Macaca mulatta: one gene and its partner. The protein of the gene in region 1 interacts with the protein of each later gene in a biochemical or structural test. Links are inferred from orthologs where the notes say so. Each region holds a gene or a part of one and is shown on either strand. Other genes may lie near its edges. The genes, in order: RGS4 and GNAO1.

Evidence for each region.
Region 2: the proteins of RGS4 (region 1) and GNAO1 form a complex in vitro, tested with the Homo sapiens proteins (2 studies listed by BioGRID). The link is inferred for Macaca mulatta from reciprocal best matches to the Homo sapiens genes RGS4 and GNAO1.

The regions. Positions count from the first base shown.
Region 1 is NC_133406.1:20,800,302-20,804,216, reverse strand, and holds the start of RGS4 (regulator of G-protein signaling 4), read right to left. Parts: upstream 2,543-3,915; 5' UTR 2,479-2,542; coding exon 2,421-2,478; intron 2,163-2,420; coding exon 1,886-2,162; intron 1-1,885. UniProt on the Homo sapiens protein: Inhibits signal transduction by increasing the GTPase activity of G protein alpha subunits thereby driving them into their inactive GDP-bound form. Activity on G(z)-alpha is inhibited by phosphorylation of the G-protein.
Region 2 is NC_133425.1:51,915,092-51,918,906, reverse strand, and holds the end of GNAO1 (guanine nucleotide-binding protein G(o) subunit alpha), read right to left. Parts: coding exon 3,787-3,815; intron 375-3,786; coding exon 187-374; 3' UTR 49-186; downstream 1-48. UniProt on the Homo sapiens protein: Guanine nucleotide-binding proteins (G proteins) function as transducers downstream of G protein-coupled receptors (GPCRs) in numerous signaling cascades.

The DNA of each region.
Region 1 (3,915 bases):
ATGAATAACTAAATGTGTCTATTTGGAGTGGGGAAAATAAAGCCTCAAAGACAGAAAGACATTTAACATAGCCCCTAATACATTTATGTATGTAGGTTTTCCCAGAAAGTTTGAATTCCATTATGTTCTCTGACTGCCCCTTAAATAGTATTTTCTCTTCCTTGCAAGATTACTTTCCTTCCTCTGCTTCCCTGACTGATGACTGCTCAGGGGATGCAACATCTTTTTTGATGATAACAGGATATAATCCTGAATGTTAGGGTGATTCCAAGGTGATAATATAAGTATATCATGAAGTCCAAATAGAAATGAATTCATATTTCTATGTGCTGGATCCACCTGAGATCTGAGAGTTGTTGATCAATGCAGGGGCTAAGTGTGCTTAGCAAGTATTCTTATTTAAAAAAAAAAAAAACATAAAAATAAAAACCAAAATGACTTCAGAAGTTATTGGAGTCAGGAAATCTAGATTTGGTCCTAATTCACCCACCAACCTATGTGACCTTGAGCAGGCGATGGCTCCTGTGGAGCCTCAGGCACTGGTGGCAAAGATGTTGGACTAGACGATTTGCAATTTACTGGTGAGGAAAGGGAAGGGCAGTTCATTCTGCTGACATAGAGTTTACCTCCTTAGATTAGCTGCTTAACTCTTTGAGGACAGAGCTCTAGTATTAACTTTTATCTGTTTTGCAAAATATTTACCAGGACATAACTTTCTCCTGACACTCTTGTATTTTTGTATAGTTCATTTCATATGTAAGTTAACTGAAGCTTGAAGTAATTTGCTCCACTCCATTCAGAAAATTAAGCGTGAAGGTCAGAGGAACTTATTTCATAGATACTCTCTGCCAGACCCTCCTGCTTCATTTTAAAGAAGCCATAGATACTTCCATACTCCTGAATGACAGAATATTTGAAAAGTAAATGTTTTAATAGTACATAAAAAATTATGTTTTCTGAGACTATTTCCAAAATAAAATTTGGGGTAATTTCTATTTGCAGCGCGATAAGAAAGCAGGTAGTATACCTTTAGATTGACTTTTTACCTTTAACTGCAAGATTAAGTAATGTAATATGCACTCATTTTGTGTTTAATTTTCAACTGACTACTATACGATCATTCTCTGAATGCATTTGTTTATACCTTTTTTGAACAAACGAAAAACAAATGAATAGCTGTATGTCTGTAAAGTCTTTTTAAAAAATCAAGAGAGTATATTAACAAAACAATATCTTTAAGGTGAGATCTACAAAACTGTTAACTGATTTGTAATGATCAATACTTCTCAACCACACTCATATAAGACACTTTAAGAACTAGAGATGGGGCAGAGAGATAAGGAAGATCTGGCTTTGGAACTCATATCTTATTGTAACATTTGCTTATAAGAACATAGAGAGTGAAAGATACTGCAGCACTACACAGAAAGCATAGTGCCTTTCTGATGATGGAGCCAAACCTCATTCTGGGGTACCTTTCCTGAAACAAGATGTAGCATACAATCAGAAAACCCAGACCCAGGCTTCTATGTACTCCAGGGATGCTTAAATAACAGCAGTAATCACAGATGGAGATATTGCAGACCACTATACATAGCCTCAAGCCTCATCTCACTTCTTAATTAAAACTAGCTTGCTTAGACCTGGCTTAAAGAACAGTTCTCAAAACTGAGGTCACATGAAACAATACATAAGGACTGAAATTTGGGGAGCACATGTCTTAAGTCACAGTATCTAGCTAGTCTTGGAGGAAAGTTAGAAAGTCGTGCTCTCCTGACCACACTGTTTCTAATTGCACAGAACTAGGTTAGTAAGTACAACATGTAAATAACTGAGAAAGTCTATCCAAAAGTTTAATACGGTTAATGACTGAAAGCAATCTTACCTCCTTAAGCAAGAAGCCGGCAGACCTGCAAGCCCTTTGCACATCTTATTTAACAGCTTGGGATTCGCAAGCAGGAAAGAAATGCGGCAGGAGGAGCTGTGGCTTCGGCTTTGAGCGTACTTTGCCTCTTCTCCGGTAAAGATATTTTCAGAATCCTCTGAGCGTCTTCCTCCTAAGCCTGTAGGGGTCTCTTTTATAGCCCAGCTACGACGGTCCAGCCAATCAGACGACAGCTCTGCAGTACCAGCTCCTCTGTCTCCCTCTGCCTCTCCAGCCCCTGAAAGAGATGAGGAGGAAAAGACTGACGCATCAGCAATGCTAAGTGAACGAGCAGAGAAAATCCTTCAGCAAAGTAGGGATATGGAAAAAAATGTACTCAATGTCTCTACCAGTGTCAGAGGTTTAGAATTTCTAGAAAAGGAAAAAAGTGTACAATGCTGCAAAATATAGTATTCATTCATATTTCTGTAAAAAACAATATCAAGGAAAGTTGCTTCCTGGAAGGAAAAGTACCAGCAGGAATTCTGAAGCTTACTTAGGAGCTGACTCCCAGTGCCCTTCCTCTTTTGGATTAGAAGCATCATATGATACATGGTCCCAGATCTGATCCTCACGATTTCCAAAAGGGAGCTGGCAGGATCATCGTCTCCACGCAGTGATTTGCAGAAGTTGCCTTGGTTGTTATGCAAACAAGAAGGTGGAGAGAAATAGCTGGATGACAGACAGTTATAAGCCCGGCTGCATAGAGAAACTACCCTAGGAAAAATAGATTTGCTATATCCGTAATCAACCTGACTGAGGAATACTTTTCTAGAAATCTTGGTAACAACAGAATTCAGCCTAGCACTGACAGTTTCTCCTTTACATGCCTGTGTCCTGTAAAAAGTCTAAACCAGCAGCTTGAGGACCAAAGGAGGGAGTAGGTGAGCAAATATACACAGCAATTCTTATATCAAATGGGTTTATGTCTTATGTAATTCTAAGTCTCCAAACTGATATTTCAAAAGATAAAGAAAGAGGGATGTAGAGAGAAAGAGACAGAGCAGGCAGAAAAATACGTAGTTTGCTTTGCGTATCACCAGCCTTAAAACGAATCGTTAAGAATATTAAGCCCTATAGGTGTTTCTGAACACCTGAACAATTAGTATCTTTTACGTACAATATCATAAACTGAAACGCCTGCATGGAGAGAATCATTCAGGTGTTTCACATCTTATAGCCATATATCAAATACCTACACCAGAGTTACAGAGGAAAGCTATAAGTGGAAGAAGAGAATTAATTGCTAGATCTGACCAAAACAGCTTTCATTTTGAGAGCAGATAGGTTCCTGATCATAGGCTACAGTGAGCTGTACTTTATATTTAAGAAACAGAGGCATCAAATGGTTTAGGTGGAAGAGATGAAAAATAGTTAGGTTCCAGTGAAATGCAAAATACCAAAAATATAGAAAGAATGTCACAAAGCAATGCCCATACATGGCCCGACCCAATACGTGCCCTTGAACATCCCACACTGCTCCCACTACCAACACCTTCCATGACTAGCAGAGCAAGGAGACAGCAGACAAATGTAAGGTGGTGGAGGGACCATAATCTACCGAAGATGCATTTAAATTATAGGAAAAAGCCTCTAGCCGCCCATAAAGATAGAAAGACATTTATTAGAGTAGATACTGGGCAACTCTTCCTTGAATTATAACATAGAACAAGTGAATGTTGACAGCCATTCTTGATGGTGGTGTGGAAGGAACTGCAGTGCAATGTGAAATTAGGGAGGCCCTTAGACCAAGGAAGATGGACCAGGGAGAGGAATCAGTTGGAACTGACATTAAAGAGGACACACTAATTAAAAGGGAAAGAAGGTCACTCAAAGAAAGACCACAGCCTTCTTTGTTTACATGGACACCTAAAAGAGTGATCACTCAAACAGATTGATTTTAGGAACATAAGTGAGGACCCGAAAAGGTTTACTGATGCCTGAAATTCCACAATAAGAGCTTTATCTCTTGGACTTAGAATAAGAGAAGC
Region 2 (3,815 bases), on another chromosome or scaffold:
CTAAAAAGATTTTTTAAATATATATTTGTATATATATATAAGGTTTTGTTATGCCTCTTTAAAGTTTATTTACCAACTTGCATTTGTTAGTGGTGTGTGTGTGTGTGTGTGTGTGTGCGCGCGCACGCAAGCTGTTCTGTAGGTGCTGGAATCATTACCAAATAGGTTGCTATACAGGACAAGAGGTCAGTACAAGCCGCAGCCCCGGAGGTTGTTGGCAATGATGATGTCGGTGACGGCGTCGAACACCACCTGGATATTATTCGTGTCTGTGGCACAAGTCATGTGACAATATATTTCTTTGTTGGGTGAGCGGTTTTTGCTTTCAAATTGTGCTTGGATGTAGGCGGCTGCATCTTCATAGGTATTGGGGCCTGTAACAAGACACAGAACAGGGAGAGGCCCTGGTGAGCACTGTGGGTGGACAGGGCTGGGGACGTGAAGACAAGAAGTGGGTTGTGGCGTGTCCCAGGAAGTGGGATGAGAGGAAGGCAGCAGGAAGAACTGCTGGGCAGTTCCAAGCCGTAGTTGCATTTTAAATTAAATAACAGTTTTTTTTTCAGACGAAGTTTTGCTCTTACTGCCCAGGGTGGAGTGCAATGGCGCTATCTCAGCTCACTGCAACCTCTGTCTCCTAGGTTCAAGTGATTCTCCTGCCTCAGCCTCCCGAGTAGCTGGGACTACAGGTGCCTGCCACCACGCCCAGCTAATATTTGTATTTTTAGTAGAGACGAGGTTTCACCATGTTGGCCAGGTTGGTCTCAAACTCCTGACCTCAGGTGATCCACCTGTCTCGGCCTCCCAAAGTGCTGGGATTACAGACGTGAGCCACCACGCTCGGCCTTGCCATTACTTTTCATAGCAAAACTGCAATTACTTTTGCACCAACCACACACAGGCGAGCATTTGCCCGGCTTTGGACTTTGCAAGATCCCTTACTGTTTTCACACCAAAATCCACCCGGGAGCCCGCCTGGGAGAGCAGTGGCCACAGATGATCCCTTTTGCTTCCTAGATGAGCAAATTGAGGCACCGCCCCATGGTCTAAACCAATCCTGCTGATTCCAATAAACCAGGAAAACAAAGTCTGGAGAGGGGCCTACCCGGGACCTGTGCTCCTTCCTCATTGGTTTCCTTTAAGAGGCCACTCGGCAGGGCTGGCAGCATATCAGTAGTAGTCGTGGTTCTTGAGCGAGTGGCCAGGACATGGGGGCATCGATGTCCCCAAGGTGGGAAGTTTAAGGGGACATCAGCATGTATGTGCCAACTGGGGGCCCTCTGTCCCCACCAATTCCTTGGGTGTACAAGGGGCAAGGGGCAGGAGGTGGGGGCATCCTTGGGTGGGTTATCACGGCAGAGACCAGCTCTGGGCAGCCCAGTAGGAGTGCCTGGACCCACAGGGCCAAGCCTCATCCTTGATTCGCTGGTGCAGAGATGCCCAGCCCAGCACAGCTGTTAAAGATTGGACAAAGCAGCCCGTGTGGACCCTGCCCAGGAGCTTCCTGTCTGGAGAGAGCCGAACCGGGCACAGCCCAGGGTGGAAGGTGGCCACATACAGCCGTCCAGGTGGGAGGAGTGCCTTGTGCCTTCCCTGTGTCTGCCGAGCCCAGCATACTCACACAGCCCTGCTGCCACCCGGCCACGGTGGCCCACACGTCACCTCCCATCCCACCCGTGCTGCTTGTTTTGTGCCCTCACAGGCTTGTGCTCCATGGGGCCACTGCACTGGTGACCATCTGTCATCCATGATATCTGAATTCAAACTGGATCCCTCTGAAGGCCCTGGAGAACTCATGTTTCCCAGGTTCCGACTGCCCTTTGCGGGGGCATCTAGTGCTTCACTCCACAGCATCACTGCACTCCACAGCAGTGAGAATGGCCACTCCCAAGTCGGGCCCCAGTGGGACACTGGACAAGAAAGAGCCATAGGGTTGGGCCTGTCTCTGAGGGTAGCCCTGGCCGGCGGGGGCCTGCTGGACTCCATTGTTGTGGCCAGGAGAGGTCAGCAGTGGCTGCCCAGAGTGGGCTACAGCCTGGCTCTGCCTAAGGGCCACCTGGGGCTGGCCTTTCGGGGCTTGTCTTGTGCCTCCTGCCCTCACTCCATCCTGCAGAGGGCACCTTCTCCATGGCCAGTTCCCCCTCCCCTAGTTTCCATCCTCTGAATAATACCAATGGCAGCCACAGCCAGCGCTTCTGTAGACCTGGCACCAAGTAGCTGTGCCTCTAGTCACCCTTGGGCTGGGCATGATTATCCATTGTGTTGACCAGATTAGAATGAGGCACAGGTGACTGAGCAACTTGCTGAGCTGCAGGTGGTCTGGCTGCAGAGGCCACCTGGGCTGCCTGCCCTATTGGGTCTTTCTTTGTTCGAGAGCCTTGAGCGCAGTGCATAGTTCCTGGCCCCACCTCCCACTCTGCACCTTGGGAAGAGCAAGAACCACCTTGCAAATTCACATCAGCATGGACTGTCAGTGAGGACATGGTTTGTGCTCAGAACCAGCTGACAGCCCTTCTTCACACACTGCTCCCAGCTGTGGGGAAGGGTGGGGAGACGGGCATCGACCTATGCTGGATGTGGCGCCCTGTGGCTGGGCTTGGGGACCCATGTGGCCCTGGGACTGAGCCCAAAGTCTTACTCCGGGGCTGTCAGAACATGGGTTCTTGGCCGAGCCAACCTGTGCCCTGACCTGGCGGATGACAAGACACCTCCTGCTCCATGGCAGGGTGCTGGCCCTCCATACTCTGCAGCCTGCAAAGGCGACTCCTACCCCAGGGACCTCTGGAAGCTTCCCAGCCCCTAGAGGGACCAGGGCTGGGCTCTGGCATCCCATCAACGCTGCTTTTAGGCATTAGCAGCAGCCCAGAGCTGGCCCATCCCACAGAAGCCACCCTCCCTCATCATCCATTTGGAAAGAGCTTCATTTAGGGGGGTGGGGAGGTCTGTGATACATTCCCCTGAGAGCAAGAAGAAAGCCCCAGAGAAGTCAGAAGAAACTGAGGCAAGGATGGAGGAGGCTTGCAGATAGCTGGAGTGGTTGGATTTGGGGCAAAGACCAGGGGCGGAGGAAGAAGGGGAGAGAGGAGGTGCGACGGGGCTGGGGTTGGGGAGGGAAGGCGGGCACGGGGCTGGGGTTGGGAGGGAAGGCGGGCACGGGGCTGGGGTTGGGAGGGAAGGCGGGCACGGGGCTGGGGTTGGGGAGGGAAGGCGGGCACGGGGCTGGGGTTGGGGAAGGAAGGCGGGCACGATGTGGGGCGGGTGGAGTGGTCTGGCTGGGCGGCTGCACAGAGATGAAGCATGTTCTGGGCACCGAAACAGGGAGCAGAGAAAGCAGGTGGGGCCAAGAGGCAGCCCACACCCTGCTCACAAGCCATGTGTCCACCTTTTGGTTTCATGCAAAGGTGCTGTGTGGCCCTGGGCAGGGGTGAGGGGAGGCCACTGCTGAGATTACAGGAGGCTATCCTGAGATCTCTCCTAGAGGGTGACCAGAAGGAAGGGGGAAGCCTGTGATCCCGTCCTGCCCCCTGCTCCCCACAATGTCACTCCTGAGTGACTGGGTCCTACCACATATATCTTAGGAGGGGCCACTCTCACCACGCTGAGGGCTGTGTCCTGGGAAGCCCAAACCTGGTGGCACAGCGCTGTTTTTCTTTTGCGCCCCACCAGACTCCTGCAATGGGTCCCGCTCGCCAGCTAGCCCCAGCAGTGCTGGCCGAGCAGCCTGTTCTCTGAGCCATGGGTCCCTGTCAGGGGCAGGCTTCCCCCTGCACAGGACTGCCTGGCACCCACCTGTGTATTCAGGAAAGCAGATGGTCAAA